3 linked regions of the Sus scrofa genome follow. The protein of the gene in region 1 interacts with the protein of each later gene in a biochemical or structural test. Links are inferred from orthologs where the notes say so. Each region holds a gene or a part of one and is shown on either strand. Other genes may lie near its edges.

The links. The genes of interacting proteins can lie anywhere in the genome.
Region 2: the proteins of TNFRSF13B (region 1) and TNFSF13 form a complex in vitro, tested with the Homo sapiens proteins (2 studies listed by BioGRID and IntAct). The link is inferred for Sus scrofa from reciprocal best matches to the Homo sapiens genes TNFRSF13B and TNFSF13.
Region 3: the proteins of TNFRSF13B (region 1) and TNFSF13B form a complex in vitro, tested with the Homo sapiens proteins (3 studies listed by BioGRID and IntAct, with this or other methods). The link is inferred for Sus scrofa from reciprocal best matches to the Homo sapiens genes TNFRSF13B and TNFSF13B.

What each region holds. Positions count from the first base shown.
Region 1 is NC_010454.4:61,244,625-61,248,775, reverse strand, and holds the start of TNFRSF13B (tumor necrosis factor receptor superfamily member 13B), read right to left. Parts: upstream 2,801-4,151; 5' UTR 2,661-2,800; intron 1-2,660. UniProt on the Homo sapiens protein: Receptor for TNFSF13/APRIL and TNFSF13B/TALL1/BAFF/BLYS that binds both ligands with similar high affinity. Mediates calcineurin-dependent activation of NF-AT, as well as activation of NF-kappa-B and AP-1.
Region 2 is NC_010454.4:52,852,320-52,856,465, reverse strand, and holds the start of TNFSF13 (tumor necrosis factor ligand superfamily member 13), read right to left. Parts: upstream 2,801-4,146; 5' UTR 2,620-2,800; exon of another isoform or gene 1,969-2,619; coding exon of another isoform or gene 1,918-1,968; coding exon 1,714-1,917; intron 1,535-1,713; coding exon 1,490-1,534; intron 1,390-1,489; coding exon 1,305-1,389; intron 1,165-1,304; coding exon 1,117-1,164; intron 986-1,116; coding exon 867-985; intron 651-866; coding exon 512-650; intron 315-511; coding exon 205-314; 3' UTR 1-204. Other genes in the region: TNFSF12 (tumor necrosis factor ligand superfamily member 12), read right to left, coding at 3,577-3,828, 4,014-4,138. UniProt on the Homo sapiens protein: Cytokine that binds to TNFRSF13B/TACI and to TNFRSF17/BCMA. Plays a role in the regulation of tumor cell growth. May be involved in monocyte/macrophage-mediated immunological processes.
Region 3 is NC_010453.5:75,598,461-75,602,545, reverse strand, and holds the start of TNFSF13B (tumor necrosis factor ligand superfamily member 13B), read right to left. Parts: upstream 2,801-4,085; 5' UTR 2,789-2,800; coding exon 2,609-2,788; coding exon of another isoform or gene 2,465-2,608; intron 2,377-2,464; coding exon 2,289-2,376; intron 1-2,288. UniProt on the Homo sapiens protein: Cytokine that binds to TNFRSF13B/TACI and TNFRSF17/BCMA. TNFSF13/APRIL binds to the same 2 receptors. Together, they form a 2 ligands -2 receptors pathway involved in the stimulation of B- and T-cell function and the regulation of humoral immunity.

The DNA.
Region 1 (4,151 bases):
GACAATACGTGCCGGAGAGAGGGTGTGGGGAAAAAGGAACCCTCTTACGCTGTTGGTGGGGATGTAAACTGGTGCAACCACTTGGAAAACAGGATGGAGATGCCTCAGAAAAAAACACAGAATTCCCACTGGATCCAGCAGTCCCACTCCTGGGCATCTACCCAGAGAAAACCACGACTCGCAAAGACACATGTACTCCAACGTTCCCTGCAGCACTCTTTGCAATAACCAAGACACGGACACAACCTAAATGCCCATCGACAGAGGAGTGGATCGAGAAGAGGTGGTACATACACACAGTGGAGTATTACTCAGCCATTAAAAGGAGTGAAATAATGCCATCTGTAGCAACATGGATGAACCTAGAAATTATCATGCTAAGTGAAGTAAGTGAGACCAAGAAAGACGAATATCATATGATATTACTTATAGATGTACAGCTATAAATGTAATAAAATGTATGGGGTAATTTAAAAAATAAAGATAAAATGTGGCAATCAAAACAAAAAAATACAGAAAATGAGCAGAAATCTTTAAAAAGAAATACGTGCACATGGATGTTCCCAGGGCGTCATTCACAACAGCCGAAAAGCAGAAGCCACCCAAGTGTCGGTCCCCGGCTGCAGGAGACGATGTGCCCTCTCCGTATGGGGAACGTTATTGGGCCACGAAAAAGGAATGACGTCCCAACACATCCAGGCTGCATGGATGACCCTCGAAGGCGTTGTGCTAATGGTGGAAGGCCGTCGTAAGACAGCATATTCCGTGTTTATAAGCTGTCCCAAACAGGTGACTCTTTAGAGACAGAAAGTAAGTTCGTGGCAGCGTAGGGCTGGGCGTGGGGAGGAACGAGGAGAGACGAGCGTTCTTTTTGGGGTGATGAAAATGTTCTAAAATTAGATTATGTGGTGGCTGCCCAGCTCTGTAAATATCCTAAAACTGCTGAATTGTTTACTGTAAACGGGTGAGCGGCCATGTAAATTATCTCAACAAAGCTGTTGATTCTGGGGGAGGCAGGAACGGGGCGGGCGGAGGGCTGGGAGGAAAGCGGCTATATTTACCGCAATCTACTCTCTGGGCTTCCAGCCTGGGACGACTGTTCACAAAGCAAATTTAAACAGCCAGAGGGGGCTCCTGTCCTGACTCAGTGGTAACGAACCTGACTCATATTCAAGAGGATGCAGGTTCAATCCCTGGCCTCGCTCCGTGGGTTAAGGATCCAGCGTTGCCGTGAGCTGCATTGGAGGTCACAGATGCAGCTTGGATCCTGCATTGCTGTGGCTGTGGCAGGTGCAGCTCTGGTTCAGCCCCTAGCCTGGGAACTTCCATGTGCCACTTGTGCAGCCCTAAAAAGCAAAATAAATCAATAAATAAGGCACAGATAGATAGCAAGAAGACCTGACTTAAGAGTTTGGGATGAGCAGATCCACACAAGTATGTAGAAGATAGGTGAACAGCAAGGCCCTGTTGTGTCGCACGGCGAACTATATGCCACATCCTGTGACGAACCAGACTGGAGCAGAATCTGACGAAGAAGGTGTGTGTGCGTATGAAGCTGGGCACAGAAACCAACCCAACATTGTAAATCAACTATCCTTCTGGTAAAAGAAAGCAAAGCAAAGCAAAGGGGACCAAACACAATTGGAAAGAGCCCAACCTGGACCTCTCGTCATTTGGGGACAACTGGAAAGAGCCCAACCTGGACCTCTCGTCATTTGGGGAGACGAGAGGGAGAGAGCGGCCGCCGCCCCGGCCACAGGGAAGCCGGGGCGACGGTGGGTTGGCTGGGCCAAGGGCCGCCCGAGGGAGCCCCCAGACCCACTCAGGGTCTGGAGGCCACTGAGCCACTGGACCTGCCGTGCACGCAGTGCCCACATGGCCAGATGCCAGCCCAGCCACGCTGCCAGGTTTGAACCTTCAAAAGAAGACCTGCTCGAAATTCTCCAGGGTAAACGATCCGGCCTCTTCATTCAAAAACCAGCCAGGGAACAAAATGAGACAGGGTGGGAACGTTCTAGATTCGGACGTACAACCAAAGGGACGCGTCTGGGCCCTGATGTCATCAAATCGGCGGGAACGGGCCTTGGCCAGGCAGTCGCAAGTCTGGACGCGGGCCCTGCGGTGGCGCTGAGGACTCGTGCTTTGCACACATTGTCATGGCTCCCCCCAAAAGTTGGGGGTTTGTTTTTTTTAAGGTGTTTTTGTCTTTAAGAGGTAAATACTGCGGGATTGACAAATCAAAAATGCAAGGCGTGGCTGTCTTCGCAGCCGTCCGGCCGCCCGGGGGGTGTGAAGGTGGAGGCCGGCTGCCGGCTGCCGGCTGCCAGAGAGCTAGTTAGATGCTCTGCCTTGCGTGACTCTCGGCCTCAGGATGTCACCACGGCGTCCTGGGGATGTGCCTCTGGGCCCGGGGCCCGCGAGGGCTGGGAGGCCCGGGGGTTCCTGCAGGTGTGGCCGACCTCCGGCCCTGCGGCTCTGCCCCCGAAAGCAGGCCGGGCCCCGCGGCCGCAGCCTGCAGGCCCTCGGCGGGCAGGCCCAGGAGGCCCCGGGGCGGCCCGCCACCCCTGAGCCACACGTGAGCACCGCCACCCCTGAGCCCCCCGGTGCCCGTGGCGCCCCGACCCAGCCCCGGCTCGCGCCCCCGCCTCCCCGCTACTCACGCAGCTCCTCCTGGCCCGCTCGTCACCTCCGCTGCTCCGGCCCAGGCCACTCCTTCCTCAGGACGCTTATTCTTAGCCTGAGATTTGATTAGCGCCCGGGCGGCACTTCCGGGGTTTCCCCCCAACCTGGAGGATGTAAATCAGCCCCCCCGTCCCCCCGCGCCTGCGCGCTCCGTCTCGGGAGCTGGGGGCTCACTTGGCCTGACATCCAGGAGTCCAGCTGGGTGCTGAGCCCCCAGCCTCGCTGCCCCCTGGGCCTGGTCCCCCCCACATACCCCAGGCTCAGCCAGGGCGGACCAGCTCTCGGGCCTGCAAGTGTGGCTCAGGGCCCTTCCCTCTGCCAGGTCATTGCCCCGTCATCTCCTCTTCTTCCTCCTTCAGGCTCCGCTGAGGTGTCACCTCCTCCAGGAAGCCGTCCTGACTGCCCCAGCCCGGGTTGGTGGCCGTTCTCTGCTTCTTGGGTGCTGACCTTACCCTGTCAAAGCACCCGAGAGGCTGGCACCAGAGCCAGACAGACTGGGCTTGAATCTCGGCTCAGCCTCTTACCAGCAGGAAGCCTTGGTGGGAATTTACTTAACTTTTTGTGCCTCCGTCTTCTCTCCTGTAAAGTGGGTGTGCAGGCAGGACCCGCCTCGGAGGCTGTGATGCGCATGCAGGCGGCGCACAGAGTGCACAGTCACAGGCCCAGAGCAAGTTCTTGGCACCGAGTGAGTTCTCAGGACGCGGCGTCCAGGACTAACACGTGTCCCTGTCACCCTTCAGAGCTGCATTCCTGTGCTCCCAGCGTCTGTGGGGACAGCACTGGGGGGCAACGGGTTTCGAAGTCACAGAAGGCTGTGCTGTTTGGGGAGCAGTCAGGTGGACGGAGGGAGAGATAGGGGTTCCAGGAGGAGTTGGGCCAGAGCCCGAGTGGGGGCAGGGAAGACAAAGGGCTCGGGGTGGTGACAGGGCAGGAGAGCAGACACCAGTGGCTGGAAATCCTAAAAGATGCTCCATCTCCTCGGTCATCAGGAAATGCAGTCAGACCACGACGAAAAGCCAGATTTCGTCCACCAGGTCGGCACAGTCTGGAGCCACCAGGTGCTGGAGGCGACCTGCGGAGCCGGGAGCGGCGGGGAGGGCCTTCTGCCAGGGTCGCGTGAGACATGGAACCTGCGCTTCCCCGCTCCCTGGGGACTCTCCTCCTCGGCCGCAGGTGCATGCGGATGCCCAGTGGCACGCAGGCGATGGCGAGCCCACGTGGGGCTGGGCCACGGCCGTGGTAGGAGTTCTCTGCACTGGGCAGAAGGGACAAGGCAGGCCTCTGCGCGGTGCAAAGAGACGGTGACCTCAGATGGCTGGGCGACAGCAGGTGGCGTTGGCATGGTGCTGGCAGTGAGATACCTTGCAGGGAGGCAAAGACACACAGGCCTCCCGGCCCCCTGGTTGTGGGCACATGAAGTGGTACAGAAGTCGCGGGAAGGGCAGTGCGATGACAGCAGTGCCACTGGG
Region 2 (4,146 bases), about 8.4 Mb from region 1:
CATGAATTTAAAGACCCCCCCGGGGGGGGAGGGGAGCAGGAGGAGGAAGGGAGAGTCAGGAGCTGTCAAACCTGGGGTTCCAGTCAAACTCTGAACAGGCCTCTGCTCCTGCCTGTTCCCTGTCCTTTGTCTCCTCGGCTCTTGGCTGTCTCCGAAATGTACCCACCCTGGTCTTCCAAGCTCAGAACCACCTTTACAACACAATCACAGTTTCACAACTCCCAGGAAGGTTCCATGTGGAGAGAGGCTGAGTTTCGCCCTGGCCCGGGGGATCACAACACTCAGAATGTCCCCTTGGTGTAAATGGAACACACCTGAGAAAGGGAGAAACATGATGCTCAGTGAAGCACATGCAGAGCCCTCGATTTCACGCTCCCACCTTCGACTCGGCCCTCTTTTCTGCTTCACTGCTCAGATCCTCCTCTCCAGCCAGGCTCCAGGCCCGTGCCATAGCATCCCCACCTCTACCCGCAGGTGGGAGAGCCACCCTCCACTGCCCAGATGCTCTCACCTGCACTGTAGCAGCTATTGTAGGCCCAGTCGGGGTTGGAGGGCATACTTCGAATACATCGGAATAGAGTCTCCTGCCTTCCCTGGCCCTCCCGAGATACCACCTGACCCATGGTGAAAGTCACATCGTGAAACAGGACCTGGCAGGGAAGGGAGGAGACGTTGAAGAAAACCGGATGGCGTGGCTCAGTTCCGGGCGGCCTCAGGAGCCCCGACAAGGCAGCTGAGGAATGAAGAAGGGCCCCCTAAGTTTGGTGTGAATGGCGGTTGGGACCCCCCAGTCCTGGGGCACGACAAGACTCCCGGGGAACACCACTCCAGGCCCTTGGGGGGGCTCAGGGTATGTTTGGGGTTACCTGGCTGTACAGCAGATAAACTCCAGCATCCCAGACTCGAACAAAGTATCCTTGGGCCTCCAGACCTCTCCCACGCTTGAGAGCTGGTTGCCACATGAGTTCTGTCACATCCGAGTCCTCTGGAGGCGAGGAGTGTGGCAGTCAGAATTTGGGGGCGCACGCAGCCATCTTCTCGTCGTGGGCCCAGGTACCAGCCCCACAGTTCCTAGATCTCGCCCGTCCCCCCAAACCATTACTGAAAACTGCTCACCCTTGGAGGTGATGTTAGTGGGAACGAGATGCAGAACTGAGCGCTTCTCTGAGGAGAGAAGGAGGAGATCTGAGCAGTGCCCACCTCCGCCCCCCGATGCCCGGCTGTCAGTCCTCCACCCTCACGCTGGCTCGGGGTCGCCTTGCCGCTTGATCACCTCCCACCCCTGCTGCACCCCAGAGGCTCACTCTTCTGTTTACGGGTGAGCACGGCTCTCCTTCTCCGGGATCTCTCCCCGTTCTCCCAGGCTTCCGCGCCGCCAGGGCTCTGTTCCTGCAGAGAGGGTCGGGGTTAGGCCAAGATGCCGGGGTCCCGGAAAGCCTTTCCCCCGGCCCTCCCCCTGGCCCAGGAAGGCCTCCCATCTCTCCTGCACCTTTCCCCAGCAACCTGAGTCTTGGTGCTGGCTGTCCTCCAGGATCTGTTAGGTACGAGAAGCATTAATCTTTAACAATTTCCTTTCCTGGAACGGTTGTCCCCTTGACCTCCAAACCCGGGACCCTCTCTCACACCCATTGCAAACGTTGCAAGAGGCCCGGAGACCACCCTGCCAGCCATCCTTCTCTCCCAGCGGCCCTTCTCCCTTCTCCCCTCACTCACCTGCTCCCAGAGGTTCTGCCATGGATCCCCTTCCCCCTTCTCGGAGGGCCCTCCGGTCCTCTGCAGCCGGGTCACCTCTCTCCTTAGGGTTTGCAGCTCTGTTTGTTGGGTCAGCAGAACCATGGCACAAGCCACAGCCCCCAGAGCCGCCCCCCAACTCAACCAGAGGGCAACGGAGCGAGCCGGCTCTCGGATGGGGGCCATGTCTCCCAGGGGCCCTTTAGGGGCTGGCAAGGAAGGAGATGAGGCTGGCATGAGCTGGGGACCCTGCCAACAGCTGTGGGCTCAGGAGTGGGGTGGCAAGGAGGTGACCGGGAGGGTGGGGGTGCAGAAGGGAAGAAGGGCGTTACGCAAGGGAGAAATAAAAAGGAACTTGAGAATGAAAAGGACGGAGGCAGAAAGCAAGCTCAGGGCACTGTTGGTGCTCCTGGCACCCTGCTGCGGGGCCAGTGTTGTCCCGAGACCCTCCGCCAGCCTCAGGAGAATTTAGTGTCAGTTTCTCTAGGAAGCACGGGGCTGCCAGTGACACCCAGGAGGAGCGGCCAGAGCGTAGGAACCCCGGGGCGGCCCCAGAAGTGGGGGAGGGAAGGTTGGTTGGCGGTGGGGCATGGTGCCAGGAGCCAGAACGGAGGGGCAAGCTGGGCAGCGTGGAGGTCAGGGGGTGAGCGTGGAAGACCCTCTGGCCAGGGCCCAGGCGAGATCTCCGGGGCGGTTGCTAAGAGGGACGGCAGGTGGGAAAGGAGGGGAGGGGGTCAGTGAGGAGGAAAACCAGGGTCGCGGAAGCAAGAAGCAACCGGCTGCGTTCTGGGGTTAAGGCCAGGCCGGGTGTGTTGGAATAAGGCCTGCGCTACTCCCTGTGCTGAACTTGGCAAGCAGGACTTCCTGTTTCCCGAGAAATGCTCTTACATAAGGCTCTGGACAAAGAGAGAACGAGCTGGCCCCAAGCACCCTGCTGCTGGACAATTCCTCCCCTGGACGCAGGGGTGCAGCTTCCCGGATTCCTGGGCCCCCGGCGGCCCGCTGACCGACCCCGAGCCCCCGCGCGGGCCTGCTCGAGCGAGCCCCACGTCCCAGCCAGGGCTTGTGCCAGCACCTGCTGCACGTCCGAAGCTGCCAAGAGGAAGGGCCCTGCGCGCAGGGATTCCCCGCGGGAGGAAGCCCGCCTCCTAGGTAAATGAGGCTGCCTCTGCTGGACCTTGGGCAGAGGACTGATTTTTTTCCTGGCACTTTGCCTTTCGCCTCTCTGCCTCCTCTGCTCCCGCCTCGGGCTTGGAGGCACGGAGGTCCCCACTCCCAAGCCTGGGGGTCGCCCCAGAATTCGAGGTGCCCTGTGCCCAGCTCCCCTCCCGCCCCCGCCCGGACCCCCTTCCCATGGCCCTCGGCTAACCCGAGGGTGCGCCCTCAGCCCCAATAAAAAGAGCGGCCGTGGCTTAATCTCTTTAATCTCCACTTCTCAACATTTTGTCACAATAATAATAAAAATAATATCTGTTTTAAAAATCCACAGGGAATGATCAGGGGAGGGGCTCGTCTCGGGCTCTTCCCTCTGACATTCGGAAACTCCCAGCCTCTTCCCGGCCCGGGCTCTCTGGCCTCCGGCCCTTCCTAGTGCCTGAAGACGGCTGTTCGGGACCCATGTCACCCAGAGTGCAGTGTCCTGGGGGCTGCGGCCAGGAGCTACATGGGGGTTTGGGAGCCAGTGAGGGGGGAGAGCCAGAGGTGGGGGGAGTTGTCAGGACCGATGGGACTCTCTGGGTGACATCACGTGAGCGAGCCCAGCCCGGGGAAGCCTACACGGAGGGAGAGGCAGGTCTGGGGAGGAGCAGCCCGGGGTGGGGCGGCTGCTGGGGAGCCCGGGGCCCCTCAGTGAACTTGGAAGAGTCCAAAGTAGGTGAGGAAGGGGGCAGCCTTGAGGTGGGCCCAGGGGAGGGTGCGGATCCGCAGGGAGGACCCCGGCCGCAGGGGCAATAGCCCAGACACCTGGCAGAGACGGAGCTGGGGCCCGAGGGAACTCGCCGCCGTGGCCGAGAACTCCTCCAGGCAGCGCAGGGCCAGCGTGTCGTCCACCAGCAAGTCCAGCTTCAGGTAGACGGCCTTCCCCTCATCAAAGTGCACCTGGGGGGGCGGGGGCGGAGTCCAGGCCTCTGCTTGCCCTTGACCCTGTCTCAGGTTTCCCAAGAGGCCCGGCATCCTTCCCAGCACAAACCTCCCCCTTCCCCACTTTTAACTTGCCCCCCCCACCCCCCCCAGCAACCCTTCTCCCTGTTCCTGCTTCACCCGCGGAGCCAGGTGGGGCTTACCTGACAGTACAGGTAGTACAGCCCTGCCCGGGTGACCAAAAATTGCCCGCTCTGGCGGTCATAGCGCAGTGGGTTGGAGCTGTTGATTTTGGCCTCCTCCCAGCCACTCACCGTCCCGTCTACACCTGAAGGT
Region 3 (4,085 bases), on another chromosome or scaffold:
TACTAGATATTGAAGCTCATTATATTATAAAATCACTTATAATATTTTATTTATCACAGATAGATAGGATAAAAAATCAATGAAAAAAGGAATCTCAAAGTAGATTCGACTATATATGAGGAACTTAATACAGGAAGCTTCCCAACCCAAAGGAGTTAAAAAGAATCATCTAATTAATTTGGTTGAGATATTTAGCAAGAGTTTGGAAGGGAAAAGTAAAAGAAGAAAGGGGAAGTTAAGGCCAGTATGACATGACCTACCAAAATAAACTCCAAGGTTAATGGATTAAATACCAAGCTACAACACTAAATTATAAAAAAGTCAAAATGGCAGAGGAAACAATAAACTGCTTAAGAGATTATGAACAAATGTATTTTAGCTTTGATAGAGAAATCAAAAGGACAAGTGTTTCACATTAAAATACACAGATGCAAAATCTCTGCACAAGTTTTTGAAAAAACAGCAAAATGTTGTGAAAATATTTACATCAAAATTTTGATAAGTAATATGTCAAATATAGAGTTTATTCAGAATTGTTTTAAAAATATGACAGACAAGTGAGGGAAGTTATAAATAAAAATCAGCAGAAGATAAAATTAGAAGTTATCAAAATATGTGGAAAGAAGTTAATTCTTATTTGTCAGCAAGCAACAAATTAAATTTGAGGCACTGTTTTGCAACTACCAAACTAGCCCAAACACATTTTAAAGATAAAATGCTGTCAGAATGCGGAGAACTTGTACACGGAGTTTCTGACTGCACGCACTTATGATTCATTTTGAAAGCAACATGGCAACAGGTAGCAAGAGTGTTAAAGGTGTTTATCCTCTGGCTCAGACATTTCATCTATGGAATTTATGTTGAATAATATGCACATAATTCCTCAGACACAAAGAGATCTGCACAAAAATTGTGGCATGTTCTGCTATAGCCAAAAAAAAAAAAAAAAGAGTTGGAAATGATCGTATGATCACAGAATGATAACAAAGAAATTAATATAGATGAGTGAGAATTACTGAGAACTAAGGAAAATGCTTATGTAATAAGTGAACACAAAAATATGCCAAGACATATATGCTTGCAGTTTTCAACTATGTGTGTGTAAGAAAACATAGGTGATAAAATACAAAATCTGAAAACAATTGATGGGTTAAAGTATGCTAAAAATGTTTCCTAGTTTTAAAATGCTTAAACCCAATTGTTTCTGATAATTGGCTGGGAGATATGATAACCAGATAAAAATGTATGCTTTTATAATAAGGGAAGAATTTTTTCCATGAATAAGGCATTTCGTGAAAAACACGCTTACAGAAGCAGCATTGTGCGTGTGCCAGAAAAGCTAATCTGCGGGTCGCGCACTTCTCTTTAGAAGCACATAGACGGATACATAATTGCACACGGTGACTTCACCTCGCAGTCACCTTGCAGGTTAAAGGAAACAGAAGGTGTGACGATTCCCGTTCAAGTACAAGCGTGCTTGGCACATTCTAGGGGCTCAAAAACCTTCCTTCAATACAGAAGGGAAACAGTATCAAGGATTAAATTGCATGCTAAGTAAATGCAATGCAAATGCTCTTTTGCATCTTTGAAAGGAAGGAGCTAGAGCTGAATGTCTGGGGAGGCCCCACCAAATCTGAGGTTTCGGGAATCCACACAATTCTGTGGAACAGACCAGGAAGAGAGTCAGAAATCTCTAAAGAACTATTACAATAAGATTACAAACGTGTGGATCTCCTGGGAAAGCTCCGGTTAACGAAAAGCTCGAAAAGCTCTGTGTGTGTGTGTGTGTATGTGTGTGTGTGTGGAAGGAGCTCTATTCTTTTAAAAGCAAGAAACAAAATAAAGCACAGCCATGCACCTGCTCCCACCACCGACCTCCATGTGACTGCACAGCAGCTACGCTCCCCAGGAGATGCTCTTTTGCTGCCTTTCTTTGACCAGGTTCACAAAATTTCCTACATTCGCGCGTGGTGCTTTTTCTCCTGAACTGATGGAGGATGCTCCTGACATAGAAGGGAACTCTCTGCAGGGAGATGTGAGCCTCTTTCCCCACTTCTACGCTTCAACTGCCGCACAGATAAATAAATACCTGCCCCCACAAAATCCGCTCCCTGGAGCTCAGACATGCATTGTCAGCCTGGTGCTTTGCCCCCGCGCCGCTCCTGGCTGCGACGGTGAGCGTGGAAGTCTCCAGGTTCTGCGGGGCTCCCCTCTCCCAGTCCGATGCTCGCCTCCACACCTGTGAACGGGATCCCTGCCTCCTACAGGCTTCCGTGACCCCGACGTACCTGTTTCCTCCGCATCCTGCGCGGCGCGCTTACTCCTGTTGCTTTGAATGGAGCTGCTCTCCCTTGGAGCTGGTGGTGCAAAGATCCCCTGGGAAGAGAAAAGCCCCACGTTACCGCCAGCACGTGTGGGTCGTGGGGGAGCCCCGTGCCTGGGGCTGCGGCTGCCGCAGACTCACTTTCAGGGCCGGAGGGGCGGCCCTGGGGGCTGCGGCTCCCGCCTGGGGGGCGCCCGGCAGCCCCTCCGCCCGGTGCTCCCGCAGCTCCGCCCGGAGGCTCCCCAGCTCCGCTTGCAGGGAGGCCACCCGGCAGAAAGACAGCACCGTGAGGCAGCAGGACAGCAGGGCCAGCAGCAGGGTCACGACCAGCAGCTTCCCATCTTTGGAGATGCGGACAGAGGGGCTTTCCTTCTGGGGGAGGATGGGGACCGTCTCCTTCAGTTTCATTTCTTCTCTCGTGCTAAGGCAAGAAAGGCGTGACTGCTCCCCCGTGGAGTCATCCATTTCCCTCCTAGAACTTTGAAGGTTCGGGCCCTTAGAATCAGTGACCACAGAGGATGGATCATTTCCTGTTATCTGTGTTTGTTGATGTCCTGCACTGACTGCCCGGCCCAGCCCGGCGCTCGCCCTCAGGAGAGTTCTCCTGAATTTTCTCCCCTCTGCCCCGCTGCATCTCTGCCCCTACTGTACGCTAGGTCTTCCTGGCATTCGCCCTTCTATCCGATTGCTCAATCAGTCTTCCTCATTTCACTTTCAGTTTTTGTAAGAATTGCAATGGCATCACTGGGTCCTCAGGCACAAACGGGTGCCTGGCGTCTACTGATTGGAAGGAACTGGGGGTTCGGACCAGTACCCTCCAGCAGAGCTTTTCAGAGCCGGAGGTGTTTAAGGAGCTCCCTCTCAGGCACCAGGAGAGACCTGGCTTCTTCGCTTGGGGCCACTTGGCTTTACAGGGAAAGGGGGGGCAGCTTTCATAAGTTCCTGCTGGGTAATAAAAATAATTAATGCGAAGGTCAGATAAGCTAAGTGCTTCAGCGTTCAACTGTACTCAGCCAGAGAGTGATTTATTAACAGTCCTTAAGTAGGAAATAAAACGAAGCCTCCTCCAAGGAGGCATGAAAGTCCGTTGGGGAATGTTTTCCATGTTATCATCTTAGCAACTGAAGAAAAAGGATGTGCCTGAATTTGGGAGCCCTGCTGAGAGTAGACACGGGGGATTCTTTAAAGGCATTTTGAAGAAAAGCCTGCCTAATCTTCCTCCTTCTGGACCCGCTGCCCCAGAGGACGGCCAGTTCTGAGGAGCGGTCCGACCTCTGCTGTCCCCACTCCTGGGGCTGCATGTCCTGGCTCCGTCTGACCACATTTGGGGGAGATTCTGCCTTATCTCAGCTCCAGAAGCCTGGGTCTTGCCACTAACTGCTCCTCCCCTAAAGCAGCGTATCTGCTTGGCCACATGAGGTTGACTCTGTCCCCATCTCATGGGTCTGTAGGACACCCCAACTCGACCCAGAGGGACTTTAGTTTCAAATCTCTGTTGCTGGATGTGGCGTGCCTATTAGGACACCAATCCCACCTGAGATTCAGTGTTCTCATCTGTTAGATGGGGTGACAACCGGCCCTGAGAAGTTGTAAGGAGCCTTAGAGGAATGTGGAACAAGCTGCCTTTAAGACCCTCCATTTTTCACTCATTTCCATCCATTCATTCATTCATTATGTGAGATATATTTCATTCATACATTTTATGAATGAATGTGTGTTTCATTTATCCAGAACACGAACTCTTTTTCATTATTACAAACAG